3 linked regions of the Ovis aries genome follow. The protein of the gene in region 3 interacts with the protein of the main gene of each other region in a pairwise test. Links are inferred from orthologs where the notes say so. Each region holds a gene or a part of one and is shown on either strand. Other genes may lie near its edges.

Evidence for each region. The genes of interacting proteins can lie anywhere in the genome.
Region 1: the proteins of RNF8 (region 3) and RBFOX2 interact in binary tests that used the Homo sapiens proteins (3 or more experiments, as listed by UniProt). The two-hybrid records come from large-scale screens. The link is inferred for Ovis aries from reciprocal best matches to the Homo sapiens genes RNF8 and RBFOX2.
Region 2: the proteins of RNF8 (region 3) and TMEM79 interact in binary tests that used the Homo sapiens proteins (3 or more experiments, as listed by UniProt). The two-hybrid records come from large-scale screens. The link is inferred for Ovis aries from reciprocal best matches to the Homo sapiens genes RNF8 and TMEM79.

Annotation. Positions count from the first base shown.
Region 1 is NC_056056.1:179,577,522-179,581,039, forward strand, and holds part of RBFOX2 (RNA binding protein fox-1 homolog 2), read right to left. Parts: intron 1,771-3,518; coding exon 1,546-1,770; intron 1-1,545. UniProt on the Homo sapiens protein: RNA-binding protein that regulates alternative splicing events by binding to 5'-UGCAUGU-3' elements. Prevents binding of U2AF2 to the 3'-splice site.
Region 2 is NC_056054.1:106,292,461-106,296,378, reverse strand, and holds the end of TMEM79 (transmembrane protein 79), read right to left. Parts: intron 2,432-3,918; exon of another isoform or gene 1,499-2,431; coding exon 1,285-1,498; 3' UTR 515-1,284; downstream 1-514.
Region 3 is NC_056073.1:11,332,326-11,335,843, reverse strand, and holds part of RNF8 (E3 ubiquitin-protein ligase RNF8), read right to left. Parts: intron 3,406-3,518; coding exon 3,298-3,405; intron 1,101-3,297; coding exon 896-1,100; intron 1-895. UniProt on the Homo sapiens protein: E3 ubiquitin-protein ligase that plays a key role in DNA damage signaling via 2 distinct roles: by mediating the 'Lys-63'-linked ubiquitination of histones H2A and H2AX and promoting the recruitment of DNA repair proteins at double-strand breaks (DSBs) sites, and by catalyzing 'Lys-48'-linked ubiquitination to remove target proteins from DNA damage sites.

The DNA.
Region 1 (3,518 bases), on a different chromosome or scaffold from region 3:
CTTCTGTTAAATCTGTAAGTTCCTCATCATTTGTACGTGATTTGGAAACGCAGCCAATACAGCAGCCTGTGTGTTTTAATTCTAGAATGGACGCTATAGAAAGCCTCATTTGTTACTACCATGCCCACTTTTTGAAGGCTCTTTACAGGGAAGTAAATCTTATCAAGTGATTTACAGATTGAGTTAAGCTCTCCTCCTGATAATCTGATACAGAAAGGCAAAAAGAAAGCTAAAAACTAGAGAGAGATCTTTCTATGCAGAGTACTGGACATTTTTATCTTAGGAAATATACCACACAATTCCACAAACAAAATGATTTCCTGTATGATGTGATAACATACCTACTGTAATTTATGATGCTTCCTTTACTCGCTTACTAAATTAGTAGTAACAGGTAAAGTCAAAGAGGGAGGCTGGGGCCAGGGATTAGTAAACCAAGTACGAGTTTGGATTTTATTCTAAGTATGTTAGAAAACCATTAGAATCAAACAGGGAAATAGCATTATTTGCATTAAGAGGAAAAGGATCTTGGCTGCTATGTGATAAATTAGGCAACAGTAACAGAAAAAGTGAAAAGGTTTGGATTAGAGTGGTGACAATGATGATGAACACCTCACATGAATTAAATTCTTTTAAGTCTCCTAAAAGCCACTTGAAATAGGTGCTACTGTCTTCATCTTGCAGATGAACATGCCAAGGCAGAGAGAGATTAAATAACTGGCCAAAGGGCATACTACTAATTAGAGAAGATATTAGGATTCAGACCTAAAAAATCTGGTGGAAATGCTGAGCTCTTAATTATGGACACTATCCAGCTATGGTCGTAAGATGAAGAGAAGAGGCTGAAGTGAGAAAATGTTCTAGAGTCACGGTGACCACGACTTGCTAATGGATTGGATGCAGAGATGATGGAGACAGAGAAAAAACCATTCATAGGTTTCGCTTGAGCAACTAGGTGATTTAGTAGTATCAGTATGCAACAGAGACAAGATAAAAAACAGGAGGGAAAGGAGTCCTAGGACCCAGCTCTGGAGTAACTACATTTAAAAGCTCAACAGACAAAGACAAACCAGCAAGAAAGACCAAGGAAGGACTTTCAGTGCCTAAGAGGGAAACAGGGAGCGTCATGAAAGCCAACAACTCAAGTGTTTCAAGGAGGATGGAGGAGGCAATGTGTAGAATACTGCTGACAGATTGTGGACAATGAGGACAGAGAAGGACCGTGAGATTTTTGCAGAATGAAGGTTACCCGTAAAGCTGAAAAGAGCAGCATCTTGCTAAGTTAACTCTCATCATCACATTTACCTTGTTTTACTGTCTGTCCCATGTCTAGACTGTAAGCTGCTGGGCATTGACTGTGAGCTTTATTCTAGACCCTTATCTTCTAATTACAGCGCTTGGAGTAGAATGGAAACTACATTAGCGTTATGCAATGTAAGGTACATGCAAAATTAATTCAAAGGGTTTTTGGGTATGATGATTAAGAAGATTTCAAAAGGACGATGACAGGCCTCCTTCTATTTTGCTGCCTCATCACTCACGTACCGTCAGAGATCCGTTCTGTGTGCTGGGTGAGTTGCTGCTCTGCTCCCCGTGGGCTTGCGTGCTTCCGTACAGTGTCAGGTTATGCTCACTGGTCTGGCCGGCATAGTCCTGAGTGTGTGGCACTCCATACTCTGTGGGAATTCCATTCTGTGGAGGTGGTGGAAACGGGATGGTAGTAAAAGGCTGAACCATTGCGTCAGGAGTTGTTGTTGGCTCCTGGTTACCCTGGAACAGAGAAAGAGAAGATAAGACTAACAAAAAAAGTTGACTAGTTACCAAAGGACCAAAGATTTTCCTTTAAACCAAACTTTTTTAAATGCAAGGAAATTTGTTACAGAAGATAAGTTATAAGATTTGAAATTTGTTTGAGCCATTACTGTTTTCGTTAGTACACTCTATTCCTTTAGTGATTCTTAGGGGAAAACAAATTAATTTCACTAAATTATAATTCTTTGTAATTTATTTGTAATTTGTTGTAAACTCCAATACTTTGGCCACCTGATGCAAAGAACTGACTCATTTGAAAAGACCCTGATGCTGTGAAAAGACTGAAAGCAAGAGGAGAAGGGGACGACAGAGGATGAAATGGTTGGATGGCATCACCGACTTAATGGACATGAGGTTGAGCAAGCTCTGGGAGTTGGTGATGGACAGGGAAGCCTGGTGTGCTGCAGTCTATGGGGTCGCAAAGAGTTGGACATGACTGAGTGACTGAACTGAAATTACAATTCATAGCAACAGGTAGAATGACAGTATAAATTAAATTCTCAAAACCAGATGATATATACCTCTAGATTTTAAGAACACAGAGTTCAGGAGAAAGTACATTTTTGACAAAATTAATCTTTGAATTTCAAGGTAGAGATTTAGTTAAGTCTTGGCCACTAGGTTAATTAAAAAAAAAAAACAAAAAAACAAAACCTTTCCTTAAATTAGAAACTAGACAAAAAAATTTCCTAGACGAAAACCCTGAGTTTTTCATAATTACTGCTAGCATTTCAAGGCTAGCAGGTACTTCTCGACACGGCGTCCATTCCCAGATGCTTACCTGGGATCTCCTGTGCTATCTCAAATATCACTACAGAACATACAGTAACAGCGGGAGCCCGTTAGAAGCCATGTTGACTCCATAGCCCCTGTCTTGTTTCTGTTCAGTCTTTAAGTTCAGATACAAACAAGGAGTTAAATCTTGTGTAAGAGATTTTGTAAAATCCTCCCTCTCAACAACTTACCTTCTGACCTCCCATTTTAGTCCATAAAAGGCAGAGTCATTATTTTACTAAAAACAAACACATTTTCAAAGTCTGGGGCCACTATCCTTTCGGAAATAGCTGAAAGAGATGGTCAAATGCTTCAAAGTGGTAGCACTTTGATAAACCCTCTCCCCCATATTTTAGACATCATATCATTAGGGATCAAAGAAAATCTGGGTTTCAGTCACTTGGATTCCTCCTAGTCATGAGCATCATTTCCTTCCAAACAACATAGTAATTATTCCTCTTTCTTTCTCAGTTATGGTTATCCTTCTTTTCCCTCAATTTAAGAAGGGATTCTCTACCCACTGAGAGCTACAGGAAACTAAACTTCCAGCTGCTGCTGCTGCTGCTGCGTCACTTCAGTTGTGTCCGACTGTGCAACCCCACAGACGGCAGCCCACCAGGCTCCCCCATCCCTGGGATTCTCCAGGCAAGAACACTGGAGTGGGTTGCTATGTCCTTCTCCAATGCATGCAAGTGAAAAGTGAAAGTGAAGTCACTCAGTTGTGTCCGATTCTTAGCAACCCCACGGACTGCAGCCTACCAGGCTCCTCCACCCACGGGATTTTCCAGGCAAGAGTACTGGAGTGGGATGCCATTGCCTTCTCCGAACTTCCAGCAGCACTAACACCATTCCAGGTTTTTAGCATTAATTTGCTGGCCATTAAACTCATACTATTGCAACAAAATGAATCCAAAACTGGAGAAAGATCTCAC
Region 2 (3,918 bases), on a different chromosome or scaffold from region 3:
TTCCTGTTCGGTAGAACCTCGGATCAGCCTCAACTTCCTGGGGGACCCAGGTGGGGCTTCCTTCCAACTCTGAGGAGGGACCAGACACAGAATGATTGCCAGAGGGAGGGTCCCCTCCGTGTTGCCTCCCTGTTCCTCCACCATCCCATTTCCCTTGAATGGGACTCACAGGCCTAAATGAGAGAGGCCTTCTGACTGTTTGCTGCACTGGAAGGCATGAAATAGAATAGTTTTTTTTTTTTTTTCCACAGGGCTTGTCTCTCAATGTGGTGCATTGTTGGGCAGGTTTGGACCTGGTTCCAGGGAATGAGAGGGCTGGAGGTGGGGCGTGGAAGGCAAGTTCTTTTTGAAGCCCCATTTCCTCATCAGGCTTAGTTCTCTCCCTTGCCATGGGACCAGGCTCCTGCCAGCCACTCTTCAATATGTGGAGCTGGGAGGTTTCTGGTGCAGTTTGAATCAAACAAGGAAGGGACACTTGAGGTTGAGGGGCAAACCCTACGGAAGAGCCAAGAAAGACTGTGGTATTAATCATTTATTATTATATACACATTCAGACGGGTTTAACATCAACCACCATGCTTTCCAACCACTCCCAGCCATGTGCGTGTGGGCATGCACGCACATACACACACACACACACACCTCTTAGGAAGCAGGTTTCCCTGTCTGCTCCTCTTCCCACAGGAGAGAGATGACTGGGCACTTTGGAGGTGCAAAGTTACAGGGACCTAAAGGGTTGGAAGAGAGGAGTCAGCCACTCTGGGCTGGAGCAGCTGTAACTGACTTGGCTGAGGCTAAAGGGCCTAGGAAGGCCAGTCATGGAGGGTCCTGAACCCAGGTCCCCAGAAGGGTTTTCACCAAACAGGAAAGTCCTATTTGATGTGATGCCCAGCCTTTACCTAAGACATAGGCAATGTTTCCAGTCTCTTGGAGGCCCTCTGCTTAGACAGCCAGCACAGAAAAGGTCAGAGTTTCGGCTGTGCTCTGCCAGCTGCCTCAAGCAGGAGGCTGCAGAGTGGGCAGCAGAGTCCAGTCTTTGTGGACCCTGGTGGCAGCAGAGGCTACTAAGGAAGGAACCATGCCTCTGCCCCTGGTCCCATGTCCTCAGCATTCTTAAGGAACATGGCTGTCCACCTCTTTCCCTGAAAGACTGTTTAAGTCCCTCCCACATAATTGTCCCAGGCTCCTAAGATGAAGGGAGCACCCCACACTCTGATTGGATGGCACCCCTGTCGGGGCAGTAGGTGGGTTCATCCCACCCAGGAACGAAGGGGGTGGGGCAGCTCAGCCCCGGGAGCGGGGCCTGTAGTCTGAGGCTGAGCGGGCATGGTCAGGGTAGTCCAGGCGGCTCTCGGAGGCAGTGAGCATGCGTTCAGGCTCCACCACGAACATGTAGTAGAAGTTCCACATCAGCATGGACAGCAGAGGCAGGAACGTCAGGCCGTAGCCAAAGCCTCGGAAGGAGCGGCCCACAGCGAAGGTCAGCCAGTATATGAGCCTGGGAGGCAAGAAAAGGTCGAGCTTTCCTTGAGGGGAGTGCATCAGCTAACAGGTTGATGATAGGGAGAGTGGGAAGTGAGGGAGGCAGATGGGGGTTGGCTGGCACAACTGATACCTCTAAAAACAACCAGTGTTCACGCACTGACGTATGTGCCGGGCACGGTACTAATTACTTTAGGGGCACTATTTAATTTAGACCTCACATCTCTATGAAGCGTGCATATTATTCACCTGCCTCTTTGTATACTTCTCAAATTCGAATTAAAAAGTTTTGAGTAGGCAATATACATTTACACGGTTCAGAATTCAAAGGCACCAGTGAATGTAGTAAAACGTTTTCCTCCACTGATTCCCAGATACTCTGTTCTCTTCTTCACCTCCTCACCTCTATTCTACTCCCACCCCAGACATCATCCATTATTATGGCTTCTCGTATGTCGTGAAGCTTTCTGTGTATATAAGCAAGAAAACTTATGTTTTCCTCCCCTGCCTCTTTTTTTTTTTTTTTTTTTTGAGGTTTGGGAGCATACTATTCCATGGGATCGCAGAGTCAGACATGACTGAGCGACTGAACTGAGCATACTATAGAGACTATTCTGCACATTGACTTTTTCCCCCCATTTAATGCATCTTGGAGATTATGTCATTGTGTGTGTGTGTGTGTGTGTGTGTGTGTGCGCTCAGTTGCTCAGTTGTGTCCGACTCCTTGAGACTCCATGGGCTGTAGCCCACCAGGCTCCTCTGTCCATGGAACTTTCCAGGCAAGAATACTGGAGTGGGTTGCCATTTCCTCCTCCAGGGGATCTCCCCGACCCAGGGATTGAACCCACATCTCCTGCATCTCCCACACTGGCAGGTGGATTCTTTGCCACTGACCCACCTGAGAAGCAATTGTGTCGTATCAGTGTATAAAGAGCTTCATTATTTCGCAGCTACAGTACATTCCATTGTGTTTATTTCCCTTTTTGTAGATGGAGAAACTAAGATTCCAAAAGATTAAGACGGGTCCAACGTCACATATGGGGAAACAGTAAAATCATGATTTGAACCCATGCCTGTTCATCAGCCTCTCTCCTGCCATTTTACAGGGGCTGAGGGAAAGAAGAGAGTAAGGAAGCCAGCTTCAAGAGAGCTTGAGGACCAGAGGGATGAATCAGGCGCAACTAAATTTCCCCTTTTGGAAGATCCATCCAAATATACACACCCCTCAGTGGGAGGAGGGCAGCAGTTTCCTCTTAACTTACAAAGGACCATCTATGACAGAATTGAGATGCCCCTATATTTTTACCTTTGTAATAAAGGGAAGAGTACATGCTGCCAGTAACTTGCCCATAAAGAAGGACCCTGGGTGAGAGAGGGAAGGGACTTGGGTTCTAGTCCTGCCTCTGCTGACAGACCTATGCAACTCTTCTCACCGAGTCTGTAGTTACTTCCTCTCATAGTCATTTTTTCTCTGTAAAATGGGTAAGATGGCCCAGACAACCGCTGGTCCTTTAGCTCCCTGATGATTCTTACTGCTTAAACCAAAGTAAACCAACTTCTTGTCTGAGATCAGCGTTCCCTGAGAAGGAGATGGGAGGTTGAGTTACATGAACAGGAACGTATTAATCTTGGAAAACATCCACGGGAAGAACACGCACGGCTGTATGACGGTCAGGAGACTGGCGGGACAGATGACCATTAGACTACACTTAGAAGTGACAGGAAGACAGATTTCAGCTTAATAGGAAGAATGCTTTAGCAGTTAAAGCCACCTGGAATCCTATATGGAAAATAACAGGGCTTCCCTAGTGGTCCAGTGGTTTGAGGATCCACCTGCCAGTGCAGGGACGCAGGTTCGACCCCTGCTCCAGGATGCTGAAGCATGGTCCTACATGCTGTGGGACCCCTAAGCCCCCGTGCCACAACTACTGAGCCCGTGCCCTAGAGCCTGCGAGCCCCAGTCACTGAGCCCACACGCTGCAACTACTGAAGCTCGCGTGCTTTGAGCCTGTGCTCCGAAACAAACCCACACGCTGCAGCTAGAGAGTAGCCCCCCCTTGCTGCAACTAGAGAAAGCCCTCGCTCAGAAACAAAGACCCAGCTCAGCCATAAATAAATAAATATGATAAATGTATTAGGGGGAAAAAATGGAAAGATCTGCATTTCTGAAAGACTTCAGAAATTCAAGGGTACCTTTCTGGGTTAACATAGTTTACATGAAAATAACCCTGCTGCTGCTGCTGCTAAGTCGCTTCAGTCGTGTCCGACTCTGTGCGACCCCATAGATGGCAGCCCACCTAAGGATCTTCAAATTCTAAATGAAAGGAGAGTAATGAGGCTGCTATGAGACCTGCTGCTGCTAAGTCGCTTCAGTCGTGTCCGACTGTGCGACCCCATAGATGGCAGCCCACCAGGCTCCCCCATCCCTGGGATTCT
Region 3 (3,518 bases):
GCCCCAGGTGTGATGAGATCACTTGTGTTAGAGGAGGAGATACTCTCTATGGAAGTATGGTTCCTTGAGGAAACTCACCCACCCTCACTTCCCTAATCTCTTTATTCAAACTCTCTCTGGGAAACTTGTTTATTAGGACACCCAAAGTTAATGTGCTTCCCTGGTGGCTCAGAGGTTAAAGCATCTGCCTGCAATGCGGGAGACCCGGGTTCGGTCCCTGGGTCGGGAAGATCCCCTGGAGAAGGAAATGGCAACCCACTCCAGTATTCTTGCCCGGAGAATCCTATGGAGGGAGGAGCCTGGTGGGCTACAGTCCATGGGGTCACAAAGAGTCTGACACAACTGAGTCAAACTAGTCCTAGTGAAGTTAACATAGTAGGATTAAATTAATCTCTTTTTGGCTTAATGTTATGCCCGATTTGTGTAGTTAAGCTGTGACTCTTACAGATAGAACCTATATATGTTTTCTTCATATGTTTTGGCATTTTCCAAGCTGTGAATCTTTGACTTGTACACATCCTATTTATAATTTATAATTTATTGTGTACCCAACCCAAGATTTCTGCAACCTACCGAGAGCAACAGACAGCAACTAAACTGTCTTGAACGACAGCCCCATCTAGTGACTAACACTGTAAGTTGTCCACCCCTGTGTTTTTCTAATCCCATCTTTTCTTATCCCTTAACTAAGACACAAACACCTAAGCCTCCCCATTCCCTGCTGCTCAAATATTCCATTCTGCCTCAACTGTTCCTTACATGTCTATTACCTTTAGCTTCCTTTACTTTCCCCCATTACTTCCACCTCCTTCTTAAGCTCAAGAACCGTTTACCTGACTCTTCTGGATCCAAAAAAGTCTGTTGAGGGGACTCACCTCTTTCCATACTCACTCACCTTTTCGTTCCCTGATGAGGACAATTCGTCGTTCTTTCGCTTCTGAGTTCAGATTGTCTACCATCTTACTAATGCAATTGTCCAGAACCAGGGAGCGGGTTTTGGACTTGATGTCCTTCCGACAAATGGGGCATTCTACTTTCCTCTTCATCCACTCATTGATACAGTAGGAGCAGAAACTATGGGCACAGTTCAAGGTGACAGCCTATAACGGAAATATGAACACACACATCAGAACTGTGACGCTCACTGCCCCAGGGCCGCTGTGATCTCAGAGTTAGGAAAGCAGTTAGTTCTCAAGACGAAATAGAAATTAAACCATAACTTCATCTAGAGGCCTTACAAAGGGTATCAGAATCATTCCTAGGAACTGTAAATTTTAAGTTTCATGTTAGATTATTTGTTTTCTCTCTCAAAGTTAAGCTCATAAACTCAGGCTCCAGGTAGGCTGATTTGTCTTATTTTGTTCCACCAACTCAATTCACACTGCCAACGTGGCTTAGCTATCCCGCAAATAAATGCCACTGGACTTAAGCAGGACTAGAAAACATGCGCATGTCTGATACACATGCATCACTAATTCTCTCAGGAGAAACAGCTGTATGTCCTAATGGTACAGTAAAACCTCGATTTTAACTCACACAGTGAATACTCAGTACACAGAATGTTAGGAGGCCCTTATCTCTACTCAAAAGAAGCTTTAAAAAGTATACGTAAAAGCACTTAGGCTAGGGAAAAAGAATCTAAAAACAAAATAGGAAAAAATGTAATGGGTTCAGCTGACAGTGCCTTAAGTAATATCAATAAGCCTATGAGAAGAGAGAAAGCAGAAAAGGGCCCGTATCTGAGGTGCTCCTGAGCAACCCCAATGGTCAGCTTTCTGCCAAGGTCCTTATCACTTTTCAAAACATAAACCATACTCTTCGTTTCTCTTGTTTCTCTTGTATCTCCTAAGATACAACTTTTTCTGGAGCTAAAAAGTTTTCTTTCTTGCTTTTGGGAAAGCAGGGGGAAATAACACAAACTTTGTATTATTTTCCAAATGCCAAGTGGAAGCCAGAAGGCCAACTAGGAAACATTCTCAGTAAAGAATGAGACATACTAAAAAAAGAAAAAGTAAAAATAAAGAATGAGACAAAATTCTCATAAACAGGACTAAAAACCTGCTGACTAAAATGAAATCTCTAACCCAACACTGATTTTAAAAGAGGACCAGCAGGGAAGGTCAGCACATGCTGTAAACCAAACAAAGATCAGGTTATTTGTCTCTTACATGTTGTGCAGACGCTCCATGTTGGCTAACTCATCACTTATTCCGACCCCTTTCCTTGTCGTCTTCTATTACGGTGCATAAGTCATGTCGAAACAGTACTAACTGAGTTTCTCCAAAGTAGGGAATCAAATGACTACAAACTATGGGGGAAATTATGATCTGAAGTCAAAGCAGATCCAAAGCAAAAGAAACAGGTCTATCCAGGACAGATTTTTCAGGAGGCTAATAGACCCAATCTCCCTAAAGGCCACCAGAAAAAAAGGAAGCTGTGTGTGTATGCGTTTTCTTTTTAAATGAGTCTGAAAAGCACTATCATTTAACAACTTTAGTCTAACACTTGTTGTGTAAGATGAACTGGACACAAGTGGTAGAATTTGCGAAAATAAGAGAGTTTATGCAAAAAGAAGACAGGATAACAAATGAAATCCTAGGCGTGATGTTTCATTTTCATAAGGAGCCTCCGAGTCCCTGAAAAATGCTCCATTTGGCCACTGAATCCCGTGAGCATACCTCAATGACATTTACCCCCTTGTTCAAAGGCTGCACTGCACGCCCACTCTCAGCACTGTGTCCATTCAGAGCAAAGAAAGACTAGCTTTATTGAGTAGCTTTATTCTGATACTTCAAATTTCTAATGCCATCTAATTCTGGATTCTGCCAGAATCAAATGGATCCCAGGAGTTAAAAAAAAAAAAAAAACCTTCAGGAGCTCAACACTAGGCAAAAAAAAAAACCCCGCAAAACCCACAAAACCCAACAGCTCATAGTTGTCGGCAATGTAGGAAACATATGACATTCTGACCTGTGGGAGGGTGGGGCAGCCCCTAGATGGTTCTTCAAAACCAAAGTGTTTTTCCCTCAACAACAAAAAGATAAAGGCTTTATTATAGCCCCAAACACTGATTCTGCCAAAAAAAGAACTCAAGAACAAATGAAGTAAGAAAAAAGCCAGCGGAGGCAAGTGAGAAGTGGCCACCTCCAGCAGCCACTTTGAAGTCAAATAGCTACAGTAAGTTCCTGGAGGAAAAATCTCTTCAGAATGTTACCCTAGAGCAAAAGCAGTCTGTGTAGCTGAGGCTCCATTCAGGGGTAGGAGAGTGAGAAGGCGTGAGCCACTACTCATCATTACCTCAACGAAGTATTCTGAGCAAATAATACACTGGAGCTCATTCTCTAGCACGTCATTCATGTGGCTAAGAACTTCCTCCTTCTGTGCTTGCACCTTCTCCTTCTCTTCCTGCAAAGACATACAACCCCACCTGTCATTCGGGAGAACTAACAAGAATGCAAAATAGGACAGAGCAGGATTAATAGTATGCAGGAGGATTCAGAAAGAATCTAAATTAAAAA